Rhinolophus ferrumequinum: one gene and its partners. The protein of the gene in region 1 interacts with the protein of each later gene in a biochemical or structural test. Links are inferred from orthologs where the notes say so. Each region holds a gene or a part of one and is shown in the gene's direction. Other genes may lie near its edges.

Evidence for each region. The genes of interacting proteins can lie anywhere in the genome.
Region 2: the proteins of TJP1 (region 1) and CLDN2 form a complex in vitro, tested with the Homo sapiens proteins (2 studies listed by BioGRID and IntAct, with this or other methods). The link is inferred for Rhinolophus ferrumequinum from reciprocal best matches to the Homo sapiens genes TJP1 and CLDN2.
Region 3: the proteins of TJP1 (region 1) and CGN form a complex in vitro, tested with the Homo sapiens proteins (2 studies listed by BioGRID and IntAct, with this or other methods). The link is inferred for Rhinolophus ferrumequinum from reciprocal best matches to the Homo sapiens genes TJP1 and CGN.
Region 4: the proteins of TJP1 (region 1) and CLDN1 form a complex in vitro, tested with the Homo sapiens proteins (2 studies listed by BioGRID and IntAct, with this or other methods). The link is inferred for Rhinolophus ferrumequinum from reciprocal best matches to the Homo sapiens genes TJP1 and CLDN1.

Annotation. Positions count from the first base shown.
Region 1 is NC_046311.1:13,163,360-13,171,577, forward strand, and holds the start of TJP1 (tight junction protein ZO-1), read left to right. Parts: upstream 1-5,065; 5' UTR 5,066-5,104; coding exon 5,105-5,277; intron 5,278-8,218. UniProt on the Homo sapiens protein: TJP1, TJP2, and TJP3 are closely related scaffolding proteins that link tight junction (TJ) transmembrane proteins such as claudins, junctional adhesion molecules, and occludin to the actin cytoskeleton.
Region 2 is NC_046284.1:47,705,408-47,713,280, reverse strand, and holds the start of CLDN2 (claudin-2), read left to right. Parts: upstream 1-4,669; 5' UTR 4,670-4,805; intron 4,806-7,873. UniProt on the Homo sapiens protein: Forms paracellular channels: polymerizes in tight junction strands with cation- and water-selective channels through the strands, conveying epithelial permeability in a process known as paracellular tight junction permeability.
Region 3 is NC_046305.1:51,461,307-51,468,823, forward strand, and holds the start of CGN (cingulin), read left to right. Parts: upstream 1-4,313; 5' UTR 4,314-4,418; intron 4,419-7,517. UniProt on the Homo sapiens protein: Probably plays a role in the formation and regulation of the tight junction (TJ) paracellular permeability barrier.
Region 4 is NC_046285.1:55,914,455-55,921,973, forward strand, and holds the start of CLDN1 (claudin-1), read left to right. Parts: upstream 1-4,315; 5' UTR 4,316-4,537; coding exon 4,538-4,760; intron 4,761-7,519.

The DNA of each region.
Region 1 (8,218 bases):
CAAGATATCTTTACCTCTGAAATGTCTGCATTTGAAAACAATTCTCATTTAAAGCTCTAGCAGCTAACACAATGCTTGGTAACTATTAATATTAGGCTGGTGCAAAAGTAATTGCGGCTTTTACAATTATTTTTAACCTTTTAAACCACAATTACTTTTGCACCAACCTAATAATATGTATTCAGTAATTATTGAATGGATAGAACGGGTGAGTAAATAAATCAATTATTATCTTTAGTCACTTGTACCTCTGGATCCATTTCCATAACTCACCTGTAGACTTTGAAGAGTCACCCAAGTTATTTTTAGGAGGAATTTAACATATATGACAGGGTAGGCTAAGAGTGAGCCCACAATGCATGTTTCTTCCACCGCCTCTCTGGTTGTCTTTTTGAAACTTAATACTTCGTATCAGCCATAGCACCATTCCGACAATTAGACTCACACTCTGAGATTCTAATTCCTGATGATGAGACAAGATTTTTGACAAGATTTTTGTCAATGTCCTGCAATGGATATTTTCTTGTGCAGGGAGCAAATGTTATCACCAAGGGGTTTCTAATTACCAAGCGATTTGTACCACTCACTCATTTCTGACGCTGTCCCTTCCCACTTCCTGATTAGTCAGATGGTACCAGCTGTGGCTCTGGGTCAACAGTAGAAAGTACCAGATGGTGTCATACCTACTTAGAGATACAGGAAAAACAAATGAGCTTCATTTGGTGCGGGAGAGGAGCGAGTCGATTGTATTACAGTAAAACCCTGGATGTGAACACCGGAGTCTGGACCAATTTCAATCATTTACCTGTAGACTTTGAAGAGACATTTTAAAATCTCGAAGAAACAATTAGCGCTTGTAAAAAAAAAAAAAAAAAGATCATACTTACTAATGGATGATTAGGACTCTTTATGGCAAAGATTGCAGGCTGCTTACCCAATATCTTCTCTCCTTTTTTCCTTAGTAACAGAACTCAACTTTTGTCCAGAGACACAGTGTGCTAAGCTAAAAAAAAAAAATTTGTCTTACCAGCCTCCTTGCAGTGAAGCGGGTCGTCAGTGACTTTAAGTAGAACTCTGGTTGGTGTTTCCTGAGACTCTTTAAAGGGGGCTGACTTGGATGAGAGAGGAGCCTGTTGGCCCCTTGGTCTTGCCCTTTCTATTTTCCTAAAATGTGGACAAGCTGGCTAGAGCTCTGGCAGCCATGCTGTGACCCTGATGATGGAAACAACATGCTAAAGAATGCAGAGCGGAAATTAAAAAGTGCCTGGACCTCTCATGACTTTGTGGAACCACCTTACCAACCCCAGACTGGCAGACGAACGCCTTTTTTTCCTACATGAGAGGAAAAAAATATCGTTTCATTAAGCCATTATAACAGGCTCTTGATACGGCACCAACATCATTTCTCATTGACACATCCTAAAATTCTGGATGTTTATTACATAATAAATCGAAGATCGGTTCACTCATAAGGCAAACATTTACTAAGTAGCTACTGTATGTAAGAAACTGGATCAGACAAGCCACTGTCTACCACCTACAATAGTAATGCAAGATAAAAATTGAAAAGGATCAGAGGACGGGGTGACAAGACGTCGTCTTAGGAGAGCTTCCTGAAGAAGGTCAGGTGTGCAGGTTTTAAACTAAGCAAACTTGAAAACAAGTGATCACAATCTATAGAAGAGAAGAAAATAGTACGTTTCCTTGAGAGGGAGAAAATTATAACTGATAATTCCTTCTTTCTATTTTTTACATAATTCAGCCAAATGTAAGAACCACTAAAGGCCAAAACTGAAGAATGTCATCAGTTTTGCCAAAGAGCCTTCCCAGCGAAGAAATTCCTCATCTCAGGTTAGTGGAAGGAAACTATTAAAGCAACATGACAGCTGTTACTTCCAGTCAGTGGGAGCTGAACAATGTAACATTGGAACTGACAAGAGCCAGAATTCATGGCCCTGCCTCTCATCAAATCCACCAATGCAGGAAGTGAAAAGGGTACGTGCACGGCTCCCCAGAACCTCTGCGTCCTTCTACTACATGACATTCCCATTTTCATAACAATTTGTCATCGTGAGACGTTAGAACAGTGGCGATGAATAGAAGATCTGAAAGCTTCCAGAGTGGGGGACGCCAACAAGCAAACAATGCTCTCAGGACACAGAGGGCACTGGGTTTCTCATTGGCAACCTTGGAAACTAGAAGACAAAGGAGCAGTGACCTAGAAATTGAGTCAAATGAGTTGCAACCTAGACTTCCATACTCAAGAAGCAATAAATCAAGATGATGGCAAAATCATGACTTTTCAGATATGCAAGGTCTTATAATCTCTAGGTCTCATGTATTCTTATTATTAGAAAAGATTATCCATCAAAACAAGGAAGTAAGCCAAGAAAGAAGCTAGGCGGTCCAGAATACAGGGGCCCCAACATAGGAGAGAAATGAGAATACTCAGACAACGTGAGCCTAGAATAGAGGCAGCAGGATGGAGGGCTCCTGGAGGGCGGGTCCAGGAAAAAATGGAAACTGATGGATCGTGTGTAGTCTGAGTCCATGGGAAACTATATTGCAAGGCATTTCACATTATTGTTGCAGACATAAGGACACTTAGCCATGGATATTAATAAAATTAAACAAGTTGAAAAATAAGGCAATTAACTCCAGGTAAAAGAAAAAGTTGTAGGAGAAAGTGTAATCGTGGTACAACACTAGTGTCAGTATCAAACAATGTTTAAATAGTCACAATAAATAAATATGTGGAGTTAACCAAAAATGTTGATGGTCCACAGGGAGGACATATAAATGTCTTGCCTGGGGTTGCCAGCATTCTGGAAGTGGGTGGGAGAAGAAAGCTTAGCATCTCAACTCAAGACACAGGCCTTCCTGATTTCTCCTTTTCAGTCTGAGGTTGCTAAGATCTATAGTAAGAACGAATCTTCTATCCGTGGAATTGCCTAATTTTATAAATTAAACCTTATCATAGGTAGGTATGTAGAGAAAAAAACCCGTATATATAGGATTTGGTACTATCTGGGATTTCAGGCATCCACTGGGGGTCTTGAAACACATCCCCCATAGATAAGGGAGATACTGTATAAAAAATTAGGCTTTGCTTTACAGGTTCAGATAGGCCTGATGGTACGCTACCATGGTTTAGTTAAATAATAACTGTTGCCCAACAATGTGATTTAAATTGCAGTTATCATGGCATTACCTGTAAGTAAATGCATACAGTACAAATGCATATAGTACGAACATGCTGCTAGCTCTTTAGTCCATAAATCACTACATAAATAACATGCACATCATGACCAGTGGCCAATCACAGCAGTTCTTTCAAAGCCGGTCCGTGATTCGTCTCTGAGCATCTGTTATTTAGTTTAGGCACTGATAGCAAAGTGTGCAGTTGTGCTGCCTCTTTCTCTCTCTGGGATAAACCCACAAAACACTGTATTTTTATATAGGTAACTAAAAGAGGAAACTGGCCACCAAAGGTGGAAAGTGCAGCAAAGAAACAAACAAACAAAAAATGATAAAGATGGAAATGCAGTGAAATTGGAATGAAATGTAATTGGAGTTATTAAAAAAATTGGCAACTGGGAACGTTGACATTACCATGACGTTTCCAGAGAGTGGACATGCAGTCAGAGGAACTGACTGAATGTGAACTTGAGTGAGGAAAGTGGTTGTGACAAAAATGATGAGGGAGTCCCAGAAGACATCACAATTCACAATAGTGAAAGAGCAGGGGTTAAATGTTGACAGTGATCCAAACTTTGCTTTGCCAAGGCACAGAAAGGATGCTATCTGGAGATGTAACAATTCTACCAGGAGAAAACACACACTGTTCCAGTTACTCTTGACAAGTTTTCCTTACAAAGAAATGAAACACTTGAATTCTCAATGTTTTAAATTACATTGTATTCAGTGATTAGTTTTACAATGTTTTTCATTTCCCTATACATTTATAACCATCAATGAAGAAAGTTTGGAATGTTTTGACAAAATTTTTTGAAGGTCACGGAACAATCTTATTTTTCCCCATTGATTATTTGCATGGTTCGTGGTCATTTCCACAGTCCCAAACTACTGTGCAAATGAGGACTGCATCACACACACACACATATATATTTATATATATGTATATATATACACACACACATATATATGATATATATATACCAGGGGTGCCAAAAAATGTATATAAGGGGACACTTTGGCAACGTTGCTTAAGTGGTAGTTCACCATCATCCGAAGTGTCTGGACGCTGATGGGAACCACTTTGAGCACCTCTTGTCATTGCAGAAGTCAAACGTGCCTTGTATTCATCTTTTGTTATCGGTATATATTGAGCATTACAATTTTAATAAGTTTTCCTTTCTTAAATTGTGTACACATTTTTTGGCACTCTATATATCATAGATATGTACACACACGTGTATATATGTGTGTACATACATGTGTATGTGTGTATACATGTGGGTATATATGTGTATATGTATACGTATGTGTATATGTGTATGTGTATATGTGTGTATGTGTATGTGTGTATGTGTATATGTGTATGCATGTGTGTATATGTGTATGAATGTATACACGCATATACACACATTATATATTATGTGTGCACACCAGAATGCATTTTATATACACATCATCTCCAAACACATTAGGCTAGAAAACAAATGATGGTTAGGAACCATTCAGTGGTAATTATAAATGTAAAAAATTATTTTTTTCTGCTCTGGAAACCTGTGGTTGCGATCCTGGTATAAGCGGATCCCGTCAATGCGCTCCCGTCACCGGGGAGGAAACTGAGGTCGGCGGGGCCGGGCGGCGCGAGGGGGTGGGTGGGCGGAGCGGCCCGGCCTGCCCGCCGCGGGATTGGGCGCCGGGAAAGTCGGGCGGCTGCGCCGCCCGCCGGGTGCGCCCCGCGGGGGCCGCGGCTGGCGGGGATGGAGGGGGCGGTGCGGGCGGCGGGAGCGGCGGGCCACGCACGGCGGCGGCGGCGGCGGGAGCGGCCGGCACGCACGGCGGCGGCGGCGGGAGCGGGAGCCCGGGCCACGCACGGCGGCGGCGGCGGGAGCGCATGGCCCAGAGCTGATCTATGCGGCGCTTGGAGAGGCTGTGCCTGCGGCGGCGGCGGCGGCGGCGGGGCCCTGCCCGCGAGCGGAGCGGGGACAAGATGAAGTACCAGAAATACCTGACGGTGCTGCAGATGGCCATCGGCGTCACCCCCTCCAACCGCGGCAGCCTCCTGCCGCTCAAGCGGAAGCTGTGGTGAGGGAGCGGCGGGCGCGGGCGCGCCGGGGGCCGGGCCGGGGCGCCGGGCGCGGAGATCGCGGGGCGCCGCAGCCATGTCGGGGCCCGGGGCCGAGCGTCGCCGCGACCCCCGGCTGTGCCCGGGGACACGCAGAGCGAGCGAGCTGCGCGCTCCCTGGAGGGATGGAGGGAGGGAGGGGCCGCGGGGAGCCGGGCGCCCGCCCCGGGCTTTCGCGGGGACGGCGAGCCATTTCTGAGCACCGTGCGCGTTTCCCGTTGTCCCCCAGGCCCCTCCTGCCGCGGGTGCACAGTGAAGGACGGGCCGCGCCCACGGCGAGGGGCGCGTTACGACGTTACAATGGCATCGGGACTGTATTTCACCTGCATGGGCTCCGGGTCCCCCGCCCTGGAAACTGTTACTGGGGGAACGGGAAAAGGATGCCCTTAAAGGAAAATGTCCAGGACTTACCCAGAGCTGGTTCACACAGTTGATTTTCTGCCCAATTGTATTGCATATTATTAGCATCTAAGTGTGTCATATGGAATCCCAGTGGCTTCCCAGGCTTCCCTCGACTGGAGACTTAGGTGTAAGGTTCTATCACAAAAGGAATAGTCAGGTAAAGCGATGGTGACCATGGGAAAAGGAGGCCAGGAATCTTGATATTCAACGATCGTTTCCATTTTAAAATTGAGGGCCAATGTAGTTCGTAGAGGTTTCATTCAATTCAATTGAACGGTAGTCTAATTTAATTTTAAGGTGATGGAGAAGGCAGTGAGGCTGCTTTTAGGCGTTTGAGAAAAGTAATTTCTGCTGTATAAGACAAAAATGAAAGAATTATCCAAGGACTATCAAGATTGAGCAGTCAAGAAAAAGAGGAGTTAAAGGAAAAAAGAATCCCAACAGTGGAGAATTTTGGAGGTAAGACCAAAAGAATATGGGCTGCGAAGTTCCAATTTCAACTTGGCACTTACTGTGTGACCTTAAGCAAGTGAACGGGAGTATCTGTTTCTTCCTCTGTAAAATGAGCACAGTGCTATTTATCTGCCTCCTGGGGTCACAGATGAACGGAGAGAGTGGATACAAAGTGCATGCCCCGGTGCCTGGCTGAGTAATGGGTGCTTAGTGACTACCAGAGTCCTCCTCCCTGCCTCCCCATTTGTTTAAACAAAGACATTTATTCTGCAAAAGGCAATATAATTTGATGGACAGCAAGTGACCACATCGAAGACTAGACTGGTAAAAGTTGGCAGTAACTGAATTAAGAAATGTCCATGGAAGAAGATGTTAGCAAATATATGAAGAATATGTCATCATTGTGAAGCCAGAAGTAGTGACATTTGAAGATGACTTTTCAGATTGACGGTGGATAGGGAAAAAAAAGTCAGCACTAACAGTAGTACCCCCAGCCTGCTTTTCTCCAGAGCACTTATCAATATCTAATACTACATATCGGACTTAATTTTCATATATATCACCTCTCCCCACACTAGAATGTAAGTTGTATGGGGGCAGGGCTTTTGTGTATTTAATTCATTACTCAGTCCCCTGCACTACCTGCTACGGAATAGTTCTCAGCAGCTATGTTGAGTACATGAATTCTTAATGATACCTAACTGGGAAAGAAAGATAAGGAAATCCGTTTTCTTGATGTCAAATTTACAAACTAAGATGTGGGACTTACTTTTGAGGAGCCTTCAGGTATATGCAGGAATTGATCACAAAGTCCGTCAGTTACTAGGTTTTATTCTTTTTCATCATCAGCATGCTGCTTCTCAAAAGGCATTCCCCAATACAGAGTTTGTGAAGAGAGAACACCGGGAAATACAATCCAGGTAACTTTTGCACTCTAGAGATTCACATCTGAGGCAGACGGTGAACTGGGGCCAGGGTTAAAAATTCATCTTCCTAAGAAGAGACAGCCTGGGAAGGGCCTGAGCAGTTGGTTGAACTTTCCCACCATTTTAAAGGAGCATTTCAGAATATCCATTCTGTTTGCAAATGTGAATCTGGTTTCCACAGTGGCAAAGGGAAGAGCGTCCTCTACAAAAACTCTGGTGTGGGCGGGACTTTTAAACAGAGATGTCCAGTCGTTTGTTTTTAGCTGGAGAGTACCGTGCTGCCGCGACATGGAGCGGAATGATCTATGTCTTACGTCCTCTGGAATTGTTTTTCTGGATAACATTTCATTTCGCCAGTGTCGTAGCCAACTGCACGTGGGGGCATTTGAGATGGAAGGCACTGTTGAATGGCGAAAAGATAGAAAGATAGGGGTTCTGACTCCAGGGTGACGGATGGGCACCAGGCAATGCCTGTCACACTTTGGAACGCACCAGCTTATGCCCGTTGACAAGATGTGAGGGCGTGTGATGATAATTGGCTGTGGCGTATATGAAGATGGTTATGATAACGGTGATGAAAAGGTGTACGCGCTCTGTGCTTCTTTCTCTAAATGGTCACAGTCTGTGTGTAAATACTGCACGCTTGCAAATCTTACGCCAGTGAGTCCAGGTGGGGTTGAACGAAGCAATGCTTTGACCCCACACTTCCGTCCAGTTTGGCCACTTCTGCTCATCAGCTTCCTTTTGTGCGAAATCTTTCTGTCTTTCTGAATGGCTCCACAAATCCTTTAAGGAGTATTCTGTTGCAGACCAGTTTTGGGGGAAACTGAAGCAAACACCCATCTCCCCACCCCCGCCAGACCCACGTCTGTGGGGCCTGCAGGAAGCCTCTTGTGTCTTCTCCAAGAAATTTTGAATGCTGGAGCATTTGCAGTGTCAGGTTCTGAATCAGTGCTGGTTAAGAGCCTGGTACTAAGCCTGTTACCTCTGCTGCAGACCAGTTTTGGGGGAAACTGAAGCAAACACCCATCTCCCCACCCCCGCCAGACCCACGTCTGTGGGGCCTGCAGGAAGCCTCTTGTGTCTTCTCCAAGAAATTTTGAATGCTGGAGCATTTGCA
Region 2 (7,873 bases), on another chromosome or scaffold:
GTTTTCTATTGCTGCCATAAGACATTACCACAAACTTAACAACTTTAACACAATACCCATTTATTATTTTACAGTTCTGTAGATCAGAAGTCCAGGTGGGTTCACCTGAGTTCACTGCTGAGGGTCTCACAAGGCTGAAGTCAAGTTGTTGGCTGAACTGGGATCTTATCCGAGCTCACTCAGAATGTTAAAAAAAAAAAGAAAAAAAAAAAGTCCAGATTCTGCAAGTGGTAGGCCTGAGCTCCCCGTTGCCTTGCTGGCTGTCATCCAAACGCCACTCTGTGCTCCTAGAGGCTGCCCACATCCCTTCTCATGTGGCCCCTTCCCTTTTTGATTCATCAATGACAAGTCAAGTACTTCTCAGACTTCGGATCTCTCTGACTTCCTTTTCTGCCACTAGACAGAGAAAGCACTCAGCTTTGTAGACTCACATGGGTACATTAGGTCCACCTGGGTAATTTTTCTTTGTCAATTAAGTAACATAATCATGGGGGTACCCCGATAAACATCATAAACACCCACTCTCAAAGGAGAAATTTATTGTACACAGGTGAGGGTCATTTGGGGTCATTCTTAGAATTCTGCCAAAACAGCTATTAAATAACCCCTTCTTCAACAACATTTCTTTGTGAGGCTGGATTTTCTTCATATACTTTAACCAAAACAACATATGGTAACAGATTGAATGCAAGAGCAGATATGAGAATTTGGCTGCCTTTTATTCAGCCAGATATCCAGAGATTGGCAAAAATGCAATACAATGCCACTTTTCTTGATAATTTTTTGTTTGTTTTGGAAAAGGTATTTTTTTTCATAATTATGTTATTTATTTTAACATGCAATGTGTTTTTCATTGTGATTTAAATTTAAAAAATAGTTTTTAATTTATCAGTTTTCATTTCTAGTATGGTAAATGTCAATAGACATAACCCATAAAAATGAAAGCCCTTCAGAATCTTTAATCATTTTTGATGAATACCTTTTATTTATTTATTTTTAAATATACATACATGTCATTTTAATATTGTGTGATGAAATGTGGAAAAGCACATAAAATTCATTCTTTTGGATGTACAGTTCCATGAATTTTGACAAATAGTAGAGTTATGCACCAAACATGACAGTCTCAACACCCAAAATAATTCACTGTGCCAAACCACTGTAGTTAACTCCTTCTACCATCCCCAACCCCTGGCAACCACTCGTCTGTTCTCCATCCCTATAGTTTTGGCATTTCAAGGATGTCATGTAATTGGAATCACACAGTAGACAGCCTTTTAAATCTGGCTTCTTTCACTCTGCATAATACATTTGAGCTTCATCTATGTAGTCATCTGCATCAATAGTCCATTCCTCTTCATTGCTGAGTAGTGTTCCATTGGGCAGATGTGCTATATTTTATCCATTCACTAGTTGAAGGACATTGGCCTGTTTCCTAAATAACTTTTAAAAGTGTAAATTGGTCCTGATACCACAAATTTTGAGAGATGATGGTAATGGAGGTATCATGTTTACATGGGAAATTATTAGATGGATGAAAGAGCTTTATTTTGGAGGTAGGATTGTAAAGATTTACACATCAAATGAGATGGGGAGTGGAGGGCCAAAGAAAGAGAAAGGAGTGAAATTAAGTCTAACTCTGAGGTTTCTGGTTTAAACAACTGGTTTTTGCAAATGAAGAAGACTGAAGAAGGATTGGTCTTAGTTGCAAAGGAATCAACGATATAATTTTGGACATGTTGAGTCTGAGATGCTTTTGATTTATCCAAATGGAGATGTCAGTATATAAGGGCAGTGAATTTCAGAGCAGTCTGGGCTGAAAATGACAATTTGGAAGTCATCAGAATATACAGGGTAATTGAAACCATGAGAGATAAATGAGACTTCCGAGAGTGGGGATGCAGAGTAAGAAGGGAAGAAGACCTAGGTCGGGCTCCTGAGAAACACCTATACTTAAGGATCTGGCTGAGGAGGAGTCGGCAAATGAAAAAATATCCAGAGAGATAGGAGGACCATGAGGGGAGAGTGGTATCACAGAGGTCAAGAGAAGAAAACATTTCAAGAAGGGCAAAGTTATCGAGGGCATTGAACACTGCAACAGAGAGAGGTCAAGGAAGTTAAGGACTGAAAAGCAGCCACTGGATTTTGTGTCATGGGTGTCATTTGTGACTTTGACGAGAACTTCTTGGTGGCGATGGAATACTCATACCTCTAATCCTCTCTCTGCCCTAGACCCTAACTCCTTCTCCCATAGCCCTCTCACCCCTGCTCCTTTGCCCCTAGAATCTCTTTTATTTCTCTTTCTAAACTCTTTTCATAGTACCATCTCCTCCCTCTCCCTCAAGATCTTGCTTTATTTAGACTTCTCTTAGATTTTCTTCCTCAAAGGCCTCTCCTGCTCTCTTCCCTAACCCATCTCTTCCCAGACCCTCATTTTCCTCCCTTTATTCTCTCACTGCTCACTCCTCTCCTTAACCAGATATTGCTTTTCTCAGACTGCTGTCCTTTCCTCCCTTCTTTCAGACCCCTCTCCATTCCCCCACCTATCCAGGCTCTCTGGATGTTGGCAAGGGTCTCAGCAGTTTACTAAGGAGCTTCCCAGGTTCAACACTGAGGAGTCATAGTCTTTGGCATGATTCCACCAGGATCTGACAGTGCCAACCTGTAGGAAACACCGTGTTAGAACCTAGTCTTTGAGTGACTGCCAGTCTGGTAACCACATCCTGCCAACGAAGTACCCTCATCCGTCCTGGCACCTGCTCCTAAGATTCTGCCTTTTCCTATTCTAAATTGCAGAGTCACTGTGAGCTGATAATTCTATTTTGCACTCAGCCAGCATTTTTTACTTGTGAAAATGTTGTCATATTCATTAGCCCAGCTGTGGGAAGTCAGCTGGATGAAGCCCGGAGACAGAAGATGTGAAGAATTGCCCCAGTTCGCACAGCTGGTTAGAGGGTTAGCCTGCTATGCTTCCCACTCCTTCAATCTTGCTTGTTTTCATGCCTAAAGAATCCCCAAGTCTGAACTCAGACATGGCTTCCCTTTTAGCTTGTCCCAGCTTGCCAAGTGTAAGCACCCTGGGAGCACTGTCAGGGGTCAGTACCCAATTCTCACCTGAAAAACAGTTATGGGCCACGTTGGAAAGGACAATGATTTTTTATTTGCTTCATTGAATTCACATTAGGCAACGTTCTGCCTGTTTGCTTTGATATTACTTCAAAAATGGAGTAGAGCATAATGATTAAGAACCAAGCTTCAGAGATGGCCAGGTTTGGTGCCTAGGCCTGGCTCTGAAGCATCTCAGTGAGACAATGTATAGAAAACCCTCAGCACACTGCCTGGCACCTAGAAAGTGTCCAATGAATAGTGGCCACTAGTCTTATCATTTTTACATAGGAATCCTTGGGAGGGAGTCAGCAAGGTACACTGGAAAGTTTATTCAACCCGACATCTGAAGACCTAGATTCCAGGTCTCACTATTACTGCCCAGCTGGGGATGCTGAGTAACTCACTTATTTCATTTCACTGGGCCTAGGCTTTCTCATCTGGAAATAGTAATAGCTGCCCTACTTTTCTAATATGTTGTTTTAGCCTTTAAAGTATGCATACTCTTTGCCCCTGCTATTCTATTCCTAGGAATTATCCATATTGTGTGTAAAGATTCTAAGTTATAATGATGAAAAAAATGGAAATAACAAAAATGTCTATTAGTTATTGGTTTAATAGATTATATTTCTATATAATAGAATACAGTGCAGTCATAAGAGATGATCCAGATTCATTTTTTTAATTGACATGGAAATATGCAGGATATAATGTGATTCAATTTTGTAAAAATATTTCTACTCATGTCTCTACAGTACATCAAAATATTAACAATGATTAACATTACACCTCTTGCTGGTAGTATTATCAAGACCTCTATTTTCTTCTTATTTTCTGAATTCTTTGCAATAGCATCTAGTTTTTTTTTTTTTTTTTTTTTTTTTTTTTTTTTTTTTTTTTAATCAGTAAAAAAGGAAAGCTTTTTTTTTTTCCACTTGGAGAGGAAACCCAGTCTCTGTACTCTACTCCACAGACCTCGTGGGAGACTGAAATGACACAGGTATCCCTGTGTGTGGTACAAAGGGGAGGCCTATGGTTACTATGGACATCGCAGTCCGACCTTGTAGGGACCTGCTCTTTGAACCCAACAGAGTCTGAACCTGTAATTCACATTTGCCCTTGTACCTTGGGGTCAGCCTTAAGAGTGGGATAGGGCTGGGGGCTTTGCTGGAGAACAAACATGGGTGGAACAGTCTGCCCGGCTGTAGGCAGTGCAGGGCTGCTTGGGCACCAGCTCACTGGGCTGTGTTTATGAGGCTTACTTCCTGCTGGGCTGGAAGGCTGCTAGCCAGGAACACCTCATGGGCATAAGAGACCTCCCTCCTCTCCCTATTCCCAAAGCTGAAATGTTCCGAATTCCTCCTCGGGCCAAACTGCTCTCCCCCAAGTCCTCTCCTGGGCTCACAGAGGTCACCACACAAAAGCCCAGCTGGAGTTTTTGACAGGAAAAACACAAACTTTGCCAAACTTTTTTTAAGTACCTCAATCTTCCACAGTCTCCAGGGGTTTAATTCTGATCTGTAATAAGTCTCTGACTTGAGGCTGAGATTTGCAGATGGATTTTGCAAAGCTGCTGCAAACAATTAGAAATCCTTTATCACCTCAGCCTGGAATATTAGCACCTTGCACCTTGTTCCCCTCCCTCAGTATCTTCTCCAGGGCCATACGTCTCCTCCAAGGCTCTCCAAAGGAACTGCTTTGTAAGTGTCTCAATTCTGATTTATTTGCTGCCTTTTAAACTCACTTAGGTGGGCTCTTGCTTCCTAGTTGCTGTCAATTTGGCCCACGGTCCAGCCAGGCTGGGCCACCTTGGGGTTCTGAGGGAAGGACACTGGAGGCAAAATTCAGGTAGGTCGGTAGTATTTGTTTCTTCAAGGCTACCACAAAGTTTCTAGTCTTTGAAACTACAGGACCAGAGGAAGCATTCTCCAAATCAGATCACAATCTCTGAATGGAGCTTTTGAGGGCAAAAGGACTGAGATAAAAAGGATGGGAGGAAAGGAACTACAGTTTACTCCTCTAACTAAGGGGCCTAAGGATGATCAGAAGGGGTGTTTCCTCACAGCCAGCTCCAGTGCCTTCCTTAGCATGAAGGCTCAGGGAGTCAGCAGAAGGAGGATTTTGTTTTCAATTCATTTTTTATTTATTAGTTTCATGTCTACAAAACACTGTAATAGTTAGACATTCATCATTTATACCCCTCACAATGTGATAACCCCCCATCCCCCAGTCTACTACCCCTCTGACATCGCACACAGCCGTTACATTGCCACTGTCTTTATTCCTTATGCTGTACTCCGCTTCTTGTGAATATATATATATATATATATATATATATATATATATATATATACACTTATAAAATTGTAGCTGACATTCATTATTGTTCAGCTTCAGCTTCAGGTGTACAGTGCAGTGATCAGGCATCTAACTCTTCCCTGAAGTGGTCTCCCTAATGAGACAAGTGTCCATCAGATACCCTACCAAATCTTTACAACATTATTGAGTACCTTCCCCAAATTGACTTTCGTATCCCCGTGGCCATCTTGTGGTTACCGATTGTGCTTTCTAATTCCCTCACCTTCCCCCTTGTCAAAACCCCACCTACCATCTAAGAAGGAGGATTTTTGAGTGAAGTCAGGAAGTCTCCCCTTCAAGCCCTTAAATAACTCCTCCACTAGTCTGCATGTCTGTCATTAGAAATTCCCCTTTTAAGGAAATCCTGCCATTTTTAACAATTTGGATGAACCTTGAGGGCATTATGCCAAGTGAAATGAGTCAGACAGAAAAAGACAAATACTATATAATCTCACTTATATGTGGAATATGAAACAAATCTGAGCTCATAGATACAGAGAACAGATTGTTGGTTGCCAGCTGCAGGGGTGGGGTGGGGATGGGTTGATGAAACGGGTGAAGGGGGTCAAAAGGTACAAACTTCCAGTTACAAGATAAATAAATCCTGGGGATGTAATATACAGCATGGTGACTTTAGTTAATAATACTGTATTGTATATTTGAAAGTCGCCAAGATAGTAGATCTTAAAAGTTCTCATCACAAGAAAAAAGGAAAAACTTGTGATTATATGGTGATGGATGTTAACTAGACTTATTATTGTGATCATTTCACAATATATACATATGTCAAATCATTGTGTTGTACACCTAAAACTAATGCAATGTTATATGCCAATTATATATCAATAAAAACAAAAGAAATTCCTTCTTTGGACTGAGACATTATTCTCTTGAAGTGTCCTCTTTGAAACAGAGTTGGAACCAAAACATTAACAGCATTTTAGTTGGGGAGATTGTAGGTAATGTCTGTTTTCTAAAGGCTGCCTTTCTGCATTTTCTAGCTTTCTAAAATGAGAGTGATTTACTTTGATGTTCAGGACAAAAATAAACTTCTTTTTAAAAGCAATTAGAAAAATCTCTCAATCCAGTTGCAGTTCCCCAAGCTGTTATCAATCAACTGATGCGAAGGAAAGGTGAACTGCTCCAAGGACAAACTTTCCAGAAAGTGGGGCTTCAAAGGAATGGCTTTGCCACTTACTGGAACCCTCAGAGGCTGGGTCTCAGACTCCTGTGAGGGGCTGGAAGGTCAACACATGGAGAAATGAAGCTGACTGGCAGAAGAGAGCTGTGGTGGCCCCCATCACCCCCAGGACACCACATGAGGTCCTTCCTTGAGTGTGTGAACCCCACCTGTCTTGCCCCACTCAGTCTTATGAGGGTGCTCCCAAAGAAGGGGTCTGTGCACAAGACTCTCAAACCAAAAAATCAGGGGGACTAGCAGGGCAAGAAGGGGTTAATTCAGAAGCTCCTGTCAGTCTTTATCCCCCTAATCGTCTCCTGCAGTTCTAATCTCCCCTCTAAGGAAGATTAGTTAAGGATCCTAAATGAAGCTTTCTTGCCCAGCTCTTGGACCATGGAGTGTGTTGGTCCCATGCCCAGAAGACAAATTCAACTGGCAAGACCTAGAGTTCTCTGTTCCTCCAGAGCAGCCAGGGCTTGACTTCTAGGAGGATCCCTCAAAGAGATGAATTTCTTTCAGAGCTGCCTGCTTCTAATAATAGCTGTTGCATCTTATATATTTATCAGAGTGGCTCCTGTCCCCATTACCTTATTTGAGACTCAAAACCTTAGAGATGAGCAAACTAGGGCTTGGAGAAGTTAGGGAACTTCCTCAACATGTTCCAGGCAGAACTGAGACACACAGATTTTGATGTGACGTTGACACTACCCTTTAGGTCACCAATATGCTTTGAATACAGTTAACCATTTGTTAAGGACTTACTATTGGCCACGACCACACTGAGAGGCTGGTATCATCTCCATTTTACAGATGAGAAAACTAAAGTGTAAAGAATGGAAGTGACTCTCCCAAGGCCACACAGCTAGAAAGTACAGAAGCAAAATCAAATTCTTTTCTGACTCCAAAGTCCAGGTTCTTTTCCCACTACACCATACTGTCTATCTTGAAAACAATTAGCCTTGGTTTCTTCCTTTTGATAAGAATATGCTAAAGCTATCAAATATATGGTGATGGAAAGAGTGGGTGGTGTCTCTGGGTAGTGAACACACAAAGTGATATATAGATGAAGTGTTACAGAATTGTACACCTGAAATCTATGTAACTTTACTAACAATTGTCACCCCAATAAACTTTAATTAAAAAAAAAAAAAGAATATGTTAAAGCCAGCCCACACTAATAGGAATTTCCAAGGTCATTTGATTCTCAGGCTGGAACTCTTTCTCTAAACC
Region 3 (7,517 bases), on another chromosome or scaffold:
GAAACTGAATTCCAAGGATATTAGGAGACTTGGTTAGAATTGTATCGGTCTCTTGACTCCTGACTCAGTGCTCTCAATCAGTGTTGTCCACTCGTAGAATCTCTGTGGCTCCACCTCCCTAGTCAAACTGAGGAAAAGAATAAGGGTCAGAAAGAACGAAATATCTTTTGGGCACTCTTGGAGATCCTGAACCCAGGATCGAGTGCGTATAGCAAGTGAACATATGAAGTATTTCAGGTGAGTCATCAAGTGACCACTTCTTATCTTCTCTAACAACACGCATAACAGAAATTTTAGTCAACCAGGAAAAGCCCCAAGCGATAGTATAATTATATATTATTATTTCTGTTGAAGAGCAAAGTGTTTGTAAACAAAGCTTGAGAAAGAAATGATGAGTAATTTACTAGAAGGACATGGCGGGGAGTGGTCCCTTTCTTTTCCCTCCCTTTGCCCCACTCTGTGTGGCGCTCACTACCTCACTTTGTCACTGCATGGGTTATACTGACCTAGGTTAACCTTCGGAAGCACTGCCACCTTCTTGCTCAAAAACCTTCGATGGCTCTCCATTATCTACCCAAAAAGCCCCCAGTCTGATGTTCAAGGCCTTGCATAATCGATCCCAGATGCTACCTTTCTGTCTCATTTCCCACTACTCCCCTGTCTGTTTGCCCAACCTCTGGGAGCGCCTTCCAGTCCCCACAACAAACATGACACTTTCCTACCCCATGACATGTGGGCAAAAGAACCTTTTGCACGTTTCCTTGCCTTTATTCTTCCTTTGCTTTCAACTACTCGTTTCCTTTCAAGGCCCAGATTGGATACCACCCTAATTCTAGTTGAAAAGGAGACTTTCTGGGAGCTTTTCATTCGTGCCACTCATTTGGCACCTATCACATCCTTTGTTAGGTTTACAGATGATTCCAACAGTTCCAAAACTTGTCTCCGATGTCTCCAGCCCTCAGAAGCACTCCTTTCTTTGGCAGGTTCAGGAGTCCTACGACCTCAAGTTGTCTGACTCAACTTCCGCAACTCTCGTAACTCCTTCATGCCCGGTCTCCCAATTTAAGTTCTAGAACACAGATTTTACCTTTCCCTGTAGGTCCAGGCTTTGGCTGTTCTCTCTCTCCCTTTTATTATTATTATTATTATTATTAATTTTTAAAATGTATTTTTCAATTATCGTTGACATAAAATATTATATTAATTTCAGGTGACCCTTTCATTTCTTGACTCTCGGTCACTCTTCGGGGTTAGTCTCAAAATATAACCAACTCTCTCCATCCTAAAAGCAAAACAAAACAAACATAAAACTTCCTCTTTCTTCCACCCTGTTTTTCTTAAGTCAAGGTACCCTTTCTCCTCCTCTTTTCCTGATATACTTGTTATCGCAGTCTGAGCAGAGGGTCTGCAGCACAGCTGAACTGACATCTGGAAGATCAACTTTTAAGTGCCTGTCGTGCGGGGCAGCCTGCGGGGTCTCTGGTCCCGCTCCCCACATAAGAATGCAGGATATGGTGAGGCCAAAAAGGAACACCCAGGGAGCCATAGATGGGGGAGTCATACAACTATATTCTCACTGGCGGCATCCACCTCTCTGCAATCCGCGCTTGCTAGCTCAGCCACCATCCTCTTGTTAGCCTCCATTTTTCTGCTAGCATAGCCACAGCAGTTATATCAGTGGCCAATAGGTCACTGGTTACAGCTGATGGCCAACTAGCCACAGCTGATGGCCATGCCATCACAGTTGATGGCCATTTACTACCTGAGCCAGCACCTTTCCACGTGAGGCTGAGAGCCTGGAAACTGCACTCCTGGTTCTGTCCCCACAGTGCCCAAGTCCAGTCTCTTTTCCTATTGGAACATCTCTTTTCCACGGTCTTTCCCACCTATGCCCCTGAATGCTCCATCACTTCCCCCGACCCCCATCTGTTCCATATTTCTCAAGGTTTTTTCTTCGGTCCACTTTGCAAACTTTCACATCTATGAGGAGAATACTTAGATTCGTCTCAACCCCTAAATTCTCTTCTAAACTTCATTTCTTAGACTGTGTGTGTGTCCTGCCTACTTCTCCAAGATAGCAAATTCCAAAGTTGGTTTATTATACGCTTCCTTTCCTGGGTCCTCTCCAAACCCTTCTGTCTCCTGTCCTTTCAGTCTCAGCCAACGACATCACCACCTTTCGGTCATCTATCTTTAATGACTCTTCCTGTGTAGCCTTCCCTGCTGCTCCATGTAGGAACTGGTCCCAGCTTAACAGGTGATCTTTGAGATAAGTTTCAGTAGAGTTGTCAGTGGACCTCGTGATAGTCTTGGAGAACGCAGGAAAGACGTGAGGAAAGAATTTAAAACAGAAATTGGGCTCCAAATTCACTTCTTTGATGAAATCTCCAGTTAGCCTAGACCTTTCTCCATTCCATTATTTCCCAAAAGTAAAATTACCCTCTTGAATTTATATCCATGTTATTCGTTTCTTCTTTCTGGATATGCTATTTGCTCTAATTTTGTACCATTGCCATATTTATAAACTGGCCGATTTTTGCCAAATTGTAGCATTTCTTAAGGACGGGGACCACGCACTCTGGGGAAAGACCGTGGTGTCACCTTTGCCACCTGTGCCTGATGGTGTCCTTCTGAATGAGGCTGTTTCCTTGAGGAACAGATGACAGGACCGTGATGGCAGAGGCCTCCTGGATTTTCTTTGTTGTCTATGTTCAGCGTGCTGGGGTGGGGTGTCTCCTGCACCACCCTTACTCTGCATTTACTACAAATGCGCTAAGTATCCTAATTATTAAGGTGTTACCCAGGAGAGTTGAGGCGTTTCCACTTTTCCAATATCTGGGTCAACTCAACAATCTCACATTTCCAAAAAAAAAAAAAAAAAAAAAAAACCTCTTAAGAAACCCCACCCCCGCGGTCTGGAGGTAACACAGTGCTGGAGGCCTACCCATCTTCCGATCCCCACCCCCACACCTTTTGTTGCAGTTCCTCCCCAGGACATTGGCTGGTTTGAGGACTCTAACCCTGACATTAGTGCTTCCCTTGGAATGCAGAGACTTTGCATCGGAGCCAAGAAGCTAGTAGGCGGACTTTACCCTCCAGGACCCACACCTAGCCACTGAAGGCTGGGGGGGAGGGTAAGGAAATAGCTCCCGCGAACGAACCCGACTGTCAGCTGCATTTAAGATTCCTCTTCAACCCTGAATAGGTCCACAGTAAATATCTGTTGAATAAATAATTGAGAACAACATCCAGGGCCCGGCGACATAAGCTAAATCAATCTGCTTTTCCCCCTGTCTCAACGGTTACGATCTAGGGAGCCAGCTTTAACAGCCGTGCTGTTGAACCACAGCTAGAGTAGGAGCCTCATGTTTGCTGAGCCCCGGCCTGATCTTACTCTTCTGGAGACTGGGATCGATTTCCCCACTTTTTAGAAAGTGCGTTTACAATTTGGGCTTGAGTCCCCTTCCGTTCAGAATGAGGCTCACTCCTATTCGATGTCAAACCACATCCCCCTTCAGCATAAACTTCATCCCATTCATTCATTCATTCTACACCTACTAAGCGCCCAGGACGTGCCAGTCCCTGTTTTAGGCGTTTGCTATAGATCAAGGAACAAAACCGGAGAGATCCTTGCCCTGGCGGAGCTTACGGTAGGACGAGAGACAAACGATGAATATGATTTTTTAAGATTAAATTACGTAATTTGGAAGGTGATTACTACGGTGAAAAGGGTACCAGGCTAGAAAATGATTTGTGGAGGCCAGGGGATGGGGAAGAGAATCCTAAATTGGGATTCTGGCTCAGGTTGGGCGAAAAGGAGACGAACTGAGGTGGAGGAGGCTCTGACATCGGGAGACAGATGTTTTCTGCAGAAGTGACGGGAGAGTAATCCGCTGTATGCGGAGGTAGGTGAGGGCTGAAAGGGCTCTGGACAGAGATTCGGGTTGAGAACACCGGAGGTGGCGGAGGGGGGGGGCGGGCTATTTTCCAGCTGAGGCCAGAGGATGCTCTGGCGGGCGGCTCCCGGGGCCGGGGAGGGGGGGCGTCTCGCGTGGCCCCCAAAATGGCCTCCTGCTGCCCCTCGCCGCCCCGCCCAGGCGCTCCATCGCCCGCCGGCCCACGTGACCCGGCCTGCACCTCCCGCCCACCCCGGCTGGCGACCCCGGGTCCCTGTCCCCGCGGTGGCGGCCCCGCCCCTCGCGGGAAACGGACCAACCAGAAGAAGGCTAAGGCGGGGCGGGTGGTGACGGCCAATGGGGGTGGAGCTCCAGAGGGGAGTAACAGGTTGGTGGGAGGGGGAGAAAGAAGGAGGGAGTGCGGAGGGACGGAGGGGGAGGGCCTGGGAGCCGCGCATGCAGCTCTGCCAGAGCCGGAGCCCGAACCCGAACCCGAGCTCGGGAGCGCCGAGCCCGGCTGGGGTGAGTGAACCGAACCGGGGCAAGGACACCTGAGAGGCAAGCGGGCCCTCAGGTGTAACCCCTGAGGGGCGGGGGTCGAGGCGATCCGAGATACCTCCCTCCAGGGCACAGGTGCTGCATCAGGGAGAAGACGAGAGGTGAAGGTAGGGCGGGAGTACTGATTAAGAGCTGACTCTCACTCCTAGGTGCCAGGTGACGGGCACCTGAGACTAAGGCTATTCCCAGGGCATGAAAGCGGGTCAGGGCCAGGATCTCTCTTGGGGTCAGAGGCCGGTCCCAGGGGCAGAATTTCTCTAGGAGACTGGGGTGCTGGGGGGAAGGAGTTCGTCTCAGTTGGTCGAAGGGAACTGCTGCCAGGTTCAGAGGCATAAGGGGGAGGGCGTGGAGAGCTGTTGTTCCTTGAGGTTCTGCCCCCTGACTGCCAGTCTAGCTGGTGCTGACAACCTCCCTCCTGGCTTTGAGATGGATCTGAGGTGTGGAATCTTTCTCTAACCATTCACCTACAGGTGACGACAGTTGCAAATAAGAGACGCTGAGGGGCCGAACAAGAGGGTAGGGCAGTCTCTTTGCTCGGTGTGAAACTGTTTAAGGCTTGCATGCCAGGGAAAATGTTTCCTTCTTCCTCTTGAAACAGTACTCTCCCAGGGAGAGATATGAGGAAGCAAAGATCCCTAGGCCTACAAAATATCTAGAACTGTGTCTTTCTAATGAAGCCTCTTTCTGGGGGCTCGTGTCAAACCCTCCCCCCCAAACACACCGTACTTTCTTCTGTGGTTCGAGATGGAGCCATTGGGTGAGGTTTGGGAGCCTAACCAATTTCCTTGAAGCCTCTTCGAAGATCCCCATTATTCCCTAAAACGCCACCAGGCATCCCTGACTCCGGGACCATGACAGACAGGCAGTGGACACAAGTGGTGCAGGACATAGGCAGGACTCCTCAGGAGACCACAAAACTAGAGGAGTTACCACCTCCAAGTCTCCAGCTAGATGGGAGGTGCACACTGGGGCCCCGACAAGACTTGTGACAGAGATTCCCTTGCCCTAGGCAGGTAAGGGAACCAGAGCCAGCCTTAGCTCAGCCCCTTTGATGCCCTGCCTGAGGAAAGTGGTTGTAATTGGGAAATAATTAGTAACCGCTATGTTGTAGACAGGCTGCCTGCAGGTGCTTTTGCACCTCTTCTTTCATCCTGGATATTTGGGAGTGGGGGGCTGGCGCTAGGGGACTGCTAAGCCAGAGATTTGCCTGACCCTAAGAGGATTCTGGCTTCCTAGAACCCTTCCTGCCTTCTCCAGGCTGAACTGCATGCCTTCACCTCTGTGGGAGGTCAGGAGGGAGGTAGGGCTGCTTCTCTATGAGTGGGGAAGGGGAAAACAGGGGAAAACGAAGGACCAGGGAGGTGGCCAAAGTTAGTGTGGGATCAGGAATGCATCTTTGGGAGGGAGGGGCAGAGGGAGACCAAGGCTTCCTGTCACACACGGCCTGTCACTCATTGTTTTTGTGCATCTTCTCCCGCCGGCTCCCTCTCTGTCTTGTGCCTCCTCCTTCAGAGCCTTGGCTTTGGCTTCTAGGCTGGACAGAGGCCCTGCCCATGGTTTTGCCCCTCTGCCTCCTCTGGTGTGGAATTTCTCGTGTCTGCTTTGCAAGCAGCCAGTGGAGTCTCCCTGGCCCTCCCCTTGCCTCTCAAACCAGTCCAGCCAGTTTGCTGGGGCCCAGTTCCTGATTGTGTTTTCTTCCGCCACTGGCCAGGCAGCTCTAGCCTGGCTCTCAGGTTTCGGCTTTTTCAGTGGACCGAGCCAGCACTCCACTTGGGGGGTTCTTTCTGGATCCATGGGGGACCTTCTTATCTCTGTAATTCTATTGAGAAAATAGGAGCCAAATGATCAAGGTCGCTGAGCTGTCCTTTTCTATTTTGACCATGTGCTTTTCTTGTTACCTCTGAGGGGAGTCTCATCTCGACCTCCAGTTCTCCCATTTTCTAAATCTGCCAGGTGCGTAGCATCTAGCATATTGCCCGGCCCTGTGTATGTGTATCAGTTCTTCCTCCACACACCGAAACCACCCCACCCCCACTTCCTGCCAGGAGTCCAGGGACCCTGTCACTCCTAGTTGGAAGCCAGACGCTATGGCTGGGCCAGAGGTGATGGAATTGGGGCAGGGCAGGCTAATGAGTAACTCAGGGAGAAGTGGCTGGTACAGGTGCAGTGTCCTCCCCCAGCTTGTAGGCAGGACTGGCAGAGGCCGACAGATGAAGCTGAATTCACTTGTGGCCTGGGCTCTTCCCGTTGTCCCGTTGGTGAGGAGCGGCTTGGGCACATGCCAGGGGAGGGAAAAGCAGGGTCAGACATCTGGTGAGAGCGAAGGCTCTGGACTCCATGTTGCCTGGCGCTGGATCACTGTTTACCTGCCTCTGGGCCTTAGGCAAGACCTTGGAGCTGCCTGCTTCCTGGCCCCGCCCCGCCGTTCTCTGTAACTGAAGGCGGATGGGTTTCGGGTTTTCCATGTTGAATCATTTAGAGCCCTGCTTTCTGACCCACCCCAAAGATTCCTTCAGTCCTCCCGGCCCCTGACCCACATGTCCTGGGACTGGAGGTGGTGGAGGTTAGGGAGTCACTGGGACCTGGGGGTGCATTCCTGGCTGCCCCTGACCAGCTTGGTGCTCTTGGGGGAGCAGGAGGCCGGGCACTGTGCGGAGCGGAGCCTGGGAACGTCGTGACCTGGATCTGGGAGAGCAGTAGACGTACTGACAGGGGAGAGCTGCAGCATGAATAAATCATGTGACTTTGGAGAGCTGGCAGTCTAGGCACATCTGGTTCCAAAATTATGACTGACTAGGGCAGGGAGTCCAGGCCAGGAGAAGGTCTCGTTACTGGGGCAAATGAGAAAGGACTCTGAGGGATCCGCTGGCAAATCTTCTGTGTGATTCTGCCCTGGTCTAGGATCCAACCTTTAACAAATATTGATCTACTATGTGCCAGGCCCTGGGGACACAGGAGTCAGCTGAGAGCCACCATCTTTGCTTATAATCCAGTGGGGGAGACAGACCGGAAACAAATCATCACTCTGATAAATAAATAAAAATAAGCTGAGGCAAACTCACG
Region 4 (7,519 bases), on another chromosome or scaffold:
TTCACCAACTTGTTTCAAAGTGGATTTTTATACTTAAAAAGTAGACTTTATGGCTGAAATTCTACTCTTTTTCTTCAGAAAGCAAGGGAGGAATAGATCTGCTAGGCTAGGAGCTGACAGGAGGGTCTAAAAAAGACTTTATGCCCACCTGATAACAAGGCAGAGGCTTCGGAAAACTTTTTAACTGAAGAGCCTCCCTGATATGCTGAGAGGATCTTCGATACTATATTCTCCATCTTCCCTCTGCTCTTGGTCCACCCCATCTCAGAAAGGGCCTCTTGGCCTTTAGCCTTCACTGTGGCTAATACACAGGACTCAGAGGGGAAAGCTGTCCAGGGCCTGGAGAAGGGGCCCACAAATCTCAGTAAAACCCCCCTCACTCTCTTTTCGATTTCTGCCTTTTCGATTTCTGAATACAGAATTGTATCTGCCTTCTAAACACTGCATATCCTGTCACTGTGATTTAACTATGGCATTAAATGGAATTCTAATAGAATCAAGTCAAGAAAAAGAGTGCTTTTGAACATATGCGAGGATCATTTGTAAATGGTGGGGTTAGCAAATTAAATGCATCTGTTCTGCTTGATAAAATAATAATTACCATTTCATGTGCTTGCTACGTACCAACTACTATTCTAAGTGATGTTCATTCAACGGGCTTAATGATCATAACACTATGAAGTAGAGTTTTACTCCCTTGAAAGAGGAAACATCTAGGGTACAAGTATGCTGTACAAATTTTCCAAGGTTATTCTACTAGGAAGTAATACTCCTGGGGTTCAAAAAGTTAGTGCTTTTAACCACTTACTCCTTATTACCCCCTCAAAAACTCCAAAGAGATTCAAAAAACTCCAAAGAGATTCAAAGCAGGGGCATGCACCAATGGTTTTTAGTGTTAGTAACCTTCACATTCTAATACTGAAATCCATGTTAAAATTTCACATCTGTGCTCTGATCCCTCTCTCAAGCCCTATATAATCATATAGCCCATGGTTTACTTAAAAAATGCGTCCATCCATTCTGCTTTTACCACCTGGGAAGCCCTGAAAAGTCAGTGTTAACATGCACAGTCACTGAGTGAAAAATTCATATCCCAAAGGCTTTCTTACTCTCATCTTCAACCATTTCTGAGAATCTGTCATGCTGGCTCTTGGGATTGTGTCTCTTTGTCTACACTCTCTTCTCTCAACTCGAGTCTCACCTGCACTTTCATCTCTCTATGTATCTCTTCCACTTTCTCCTGGTTCTCACGATCATGGCTGAGCCCAAGCACCGGTCACATATGTACACGGGGTAAATCAGTGGGCTATGGTGCTGTTCTCACCTATACTTCCCTCTCAAAAGAACACTCCCCGACACGATTCCGGATCCTCTGGGTGTAGAATCTTAGTGGGCAGCAGCAGAAATTGAGAAGAGACAGGAAGAAGCAGTAGGGCAGTCACAGAGCGGAACATCTTACCACTTCCTGGAGGGAGAAACACATGATCACGATGTGTAAGCCCTGAAAGCCAATGGTCCTCCATTGATTTGGTTCACACAGGGAACTACTATAGAGCAATGCTTATAGGTCTGAGCACCAGGGTCAAAGTGTATAGTTTGGAATCCCAGGGCTGCCAATTACCAAATATGATCCTGGGTAAGTGATTTGACCTCTCTGTGTCTCTGTCACCTTCACATACAGGATGGTGCCTAGAAAACTCTTAGCTCAACACTGTGATGACAGTATGTTACCCACAAGGATCGGCTATTATTACCTTGCATCCTAAAGCTTTAGGCTGGGGTGAGCTTTTAGAAGCTGATTCCTAATTTTTATTGATAAGGAAACTGAGAAAGAGAAAGGAAGCAATTTGTCTGAGAGTACATAGCAGATTTTCCTACTCAACAGGCCAGGACATTTGCCACCTCATAGTCAGCCTTTCTAGAAACTTCTTGGTCCCAGTGCTGCCCCTATTATTCATGCTTCATATATGAAAGGCCAGATGTCTGTACATAAGTTGTTTTTCCTCTTCATGGAGAGGATGGATTTCCTTGATGGATTTATGCTGGGCCATTATCTCACCTATCTGCTCCTAGGAAAACACAGAGAACTAGACAGGATTAGGGATGCCAGAGATGGGATCACAGCAGAGTAAACAGTACCCACCGCAACCTCATAAACACGGCTGTGGGCAATGAAGTCATCAGCCTCACAGAGACCTGGAAAGAAAAAAAACAACAAAAACACGGGGCCATACTGACCACAGGATTCATCCCTCCCAATTTCCCCCAACTGTAGGTTGATAGAAGCAGGTCCTAATGTAGATGAAAAAGGCTTGTGCACAAGTACATTAATTGAACTCAAATCTCATCCTCATGGATCCAATCTGAGCAACTAAGAAAAAAAAATTTAATAGTTTTAATTCTGAATTGACTGGAACAAAACAGATAAGATTATGTGATTGACATGGTAATGAACTAGACCTACAGCAAATTCTGGGAAACTCCTCTGAGCTAAGTGACCCTGGGGAATACATAAAGCAAATATGATTGATACCTCGTCATCCACACTCACAGGTGCCCACAGAACATCCATCAGGCCCTAAAAGGAATTGCTGACTGCAGGCCCAGACTCAGGGGACTCACCCTGATGTGGGACTCACTCTGCCCTACAGAGCTGACTTAGGGCCTTCCTGGGGCCTAGGGAGGCTTTCAGGACATCACCGACTTGTTTCAAACTTGCTTACTCCCAACTAAAGCTCTCCATCCAGCTTGTGTGTTACCCTCTTCATTGCTAGTCCCCAAATTTTTCTGCAGAGATTTGTCCTTCGGATGTAGACCTTCAAAAGGTATCTGAAGAGTTGGGTGGAAGTGAGGGGTTTGGGGTTTTTGCTTTGTTTTCCCTTTTTTAATAGACTTTTTAAAGGAAAGTTTTAGATGAACAAAACTGAGCAGCAGATACAGAGATCCCCATATAGATTCTCTGCCCCCCACATATGCATCGCCACCCTCATTATCAACATCCCCCAAGGGGTAGAGTTTTTTCATTCTTCTCATTCATACTCTGAGAACTTGTTTACTGTTCCCTCCTTGACACAAACCGGCAGCTCCCCTAGTGAATACTGGGGCAGATCTTTTTTCTCCTTACCGTGTTTATTTCTGCCTCTGAGGTGCTTCTGTTTTGACCAAAACCATAGAAGCTTCTCCTCCCACCACACACAAAAAGCAGTTGGGAAAACATTTTAATTATTGCAAACCACAGCGCCATTTAACTACAGAGAAGGAAGCTTTAGAGACCCATAGAGTGAAACAAAAGGCTCGACTAGATAAAGACCTGAGGGTGTGGCCATAGCCAGTCACGGCAAAACCCAGAGGCAGAACCAGGACTTCCCCAATCCTGGCCCAGTCCTCTTTCTCCTGGGTTCAGGCGTTTTAGATACCCTTGCCTTTGATGACTAGCATCTGGTAATTCATTAATGAAACACCCATTGAGGGTTGGGGGACGCACTGTCCTCCTCCCTCTGATAATGAATCGCTGCTGTAACACAAAGTACTGAGGGGAAGAGGCTGGGGTGCGTGTGGCGGGGGAGGGCTGGGGGGAGGGGAGGTTGCATTTTCGTAGCGATGATAATTGCTTAAAGGACATATATTTCGGTTAAGTCGAAATGTAGTAGAAAGAAGAGCGGGCTGGGAACATTGTACTGGGTGTGCTACTCGCTTGCTGTGTGATCTTACGGAAATCATATTTCCTTTTTGGGTCTCAGTTTCCTAATCTGTAAAGTATACTGATTTCTTACCACCCTTGCAGAAATACCGGATTCTAGAAGAGACCTTGAAGGGGAGAAGGAAAGGAGAACAGGGACGAAGCTGAACAACAGAGAGAGAATTGTGTGTGAAGGGAGGGAGGAGGTGGTGGAGACAGATAGGAAATGCCTGTTAAGAACATAGTGAGAAAAAGTGGACCGTGCAACTGTGGGTCCCTGGAGGGTTCCCTTTTTCATCTTCATGCATTGTTAATGTTTACACATAATAGTACATTGGGGGGAAATAAAGATCGAATGAATGGAACATCTGAGAAGGCACACTAGAGGAAACAAGAGCGAAGGGAGACACGAGAGGGAGCGAGCGCCGGAACACTTTAGTACCTGATCCTTCTCAGGTGGCCCCCACCTCGCGCTGGGACCTCCCGGCCAAGGGCGCGGGGGCCAACAAGGGCCGGAGCGCTCCCTCCCGCTCCCCCCGCGAGCCGCCCTGAAACCGCCAGGGGGTGCTGCGCGGCGGCCGGCCCGGGCGAGGGGCGGAGCTGCTTTAAATTGCGGCGCCCTGCAGGTTGGCGTTTCAGTCACAGAGCTTGGGAGCAGCGGCAGCTTCTCGCACTCGGACTCCAGCGCCAATCCGGACCCCGATCTAGATCCTCTCCAGCGGCGGCGCAAGGAGCAAAGCTCCCAGCAACAACTTCCTCCACGCGGCTCCGCCACCCCCAGGAGCCCCGGGTGCGCCCCCGCAATCTCCGCGCGTTGCACCTGCCACCACTGAGCGAGCCCAGGCGCCCGAGTGAGCTATGGCCAACGCGGGGCTGCAACTGCTGGGCTTCATCCTGGCCTTCCTGGGCTGGATGGGAGCCATCATCAGTACGGCGATGCCCCAATGGAAGACTCACTCCTATGCGGGCGACAACATCGTGACGGCCCAGTCCATCTACGAGGGGCTGTGGATGTCCTGCGTGTCACAGAGCACAGGGCAAATCCAGTGCAAAGTCTTCGACTCCTTGCTGAATCTAAACAGTGAGTGCATTCCCCACCTCTACAGCTGTGACCTGGAGATCCCAATCCCCCAGTGGTTCCGTTTTGGGGTAGTGGCATCCAGCCTCCAATTCCGTTCTGTGATTACATGGTTATCAGTATTCAGCCGATCAAGTCTTCAGATCATGTGCTTTGTCTTGAGGAAACGGAGAGAACCTTGGTTTGGGAAAAGGGAAGCCCAGAACAAAGCTCTAGTTTTGCCTCTAATTCCCCGGGTAACACTTTTTCTCCCTTCTTGGTGTGGTTTCATCTTAAATTTTGATGAGAGCAGGGTGGAGATCCAGAGGTGAAGGTCAAATTCAAACTTGAGTTCTTAGGCCTCTCTTGGACATTCTCAGTCTGATTCTGTGTAAGTTGAAGAATGGTAGTGTTTGGACAAGAAAATAGTATGCCTTGAAACGTTTGGAGCCTGATAGCTTCTTAAGTTTGTAAAATTAAATAGATAATCTCAAAGTATTAGATAAGCTTTTCTCCTCCCCTCCCCCAGGCTATCTTTACTATGACTTTTCAAAGAAAAAGTCGCATTCCTACATTGGCATCTACTTACATTTAAGTTTGAATCTTCTGATTTTTAAGACGCAGCAAGTTTGGGGAGTCCCCTTTGCACCCCTTGCATGACTCCTTGAAGAAGCCTCTTGAGATGTCCTCTGAAGGTTTTACTTTTCAAGCCAGGGGTCTTCAGAGGAGGCAGATTGTTTAGTGTTATTTTGGAAAGTGAAGGTTGGTAGTAGGTGGCAAAAAGGGACAAGAAAAGAAAAAGTTCTACATAACCTCCCATCATAGTGTGAAGGGAAAAAAAGAGGTAAGAAAAATGCCACAAAGTAGACACAGCTAATGAAAGCAGAGGTCAGCTCTGGGGAGGAAGTTAGTGAGAGAGAGAGGGTGGGTCTTCCCCAAGTTTCCACCTCCCACAAAGGATTTTCTACATAAGGGATGTTTGCTTCTTTCAAGTTAGAAAGGATTATGTAGACAGCAATATTCCTAAAGATAGTGGGGAAAAGAATGACAGGATGGATTTTTCCCCCCTTTTTAACATGTTTTTAAATAAAAGCTTTTGAGTGCCTTATCAGAAACTTCTTAAATTCCCACTTTCATAGGTAATAACAATTCATGGCTGGAGTATCTTCCTGGAGATATTACACTGGTTGTCATGCAGCATGTGTCTGTTATGCCCTTGAACTAACTTAAGAGAAGATTCCTTAGTCTTTGCCTAGACAAACAAGCCAGCCCACCGGGCCCTTTATGGGCTGAGGGTGAACAGTGTTGTCATCTCTCCAGTTTATTTCACATGCTTTGTTCACCTCCCACATGTGGTTTGTCAAAAGCCATATACTTTAGGGTTATTAAATCTGTTCTGAATCTGCTTAAACCCCTTGACCACCTGTGGAATTTGGTCAGTCAATGTGCGTGGTAGTTTTGAGTACTGTCGTTTTCGCTGTTCAAAATCCGCATATTAGGATTCCTTTACACCAAATATAAGGAGTGTATTAGGTATTCTCCTTTATGTAATCATTGAATCTCCACAGAGATTCAATGGAGATTGAATTCATATATGTATTAATCTCAATGGAGATTAATACATATAAAGAAATGGTTTTAGGCATTTTGGGTGTCATTTCGAGGAACTGGCAGATGGACAAGGTTCTAAGGGCAATTCTAGAGAGCTCTCTGATTCTTCTGATCAAAATAGTTCATTTTCAACATGTTTAAATATGTGTCCTTTTAACTTCCTTAGTTGACGCATGGAATCAGATTGCATCATGTTGTAAATACTCAGGTCACCTCTACATATGATAATGTGTTCAAGTGTTTTATTTTCATTTGTTCCTAGTTAATATAGCTGTTGTAGTCTTCGAAGTTGCGGTGGGAGACTTAAACGATATCCTCCTCTTCTCCCCGTACACATTTTTGAGATTTCTGCCTGATGAATATATATTTTTTAAACTCCAGATCAGATGCTTTTCTTTTCGGTTAAACCCAGAGATTACTCAAGGTGGGGCTGAGGCCTCCTCACAGAACTGATTCCCAGAAGAAGGAGCCTTGACTCACAAGTACTCTCCCCAACCTGCCAGTGACTCACTGGATGCCTTTGGATGGGGCCATAGAACCTGTCTCTGTTTTTCCACCTGGCTAGTGGTGCTCACACCCACCTGAGGGAGAGACCTGGGGTGGTGATTCACTGGCTGATTTGGTATAGCTCCGTGACCTCTAGAGGTGCACAGGATTATCTGTATATTTAAGTCGTGTTCCTTGTAAAAGGTTGCGTTCCTCGAAGTGCTTTTAGGTGAAAAGCTTGGTGAGAAGTTTCCTGAAATTGAACCTTATTCTCTTTGCCAGTGGAACCCACTTGGCACCTTAGGGTCGAGACACAGGGATTTATCAAGGTTTTAGCGCTAGACATGTTAAGAGCCCTTGTTCCCCTGCTCTAAATAGTGTCAGCTGTGAAAAGCATAATTCCATAAGTACCTAAAGGGATACGGTGTGCTTGAACCAACATAGGAAATGAGATACAGCAGGGGTTTTTTTAGGTACTTCTTGCGAAGCAGTTTATGAAAATGTAACAGAAAGTTCCTGGAGAAACAAATGTCGCACTGTGCATTGTGGTTTTACTGTGGCTGAGACAATTTCAATTCCATCCAAAGTATGTGATGTTTATTGACATTGATGACTACTGCGGCTGAAAGCTGGAATATACAAAGGAGAGTGGCAGATACAGTTACAGTAGACTTTTCTGGATTCCG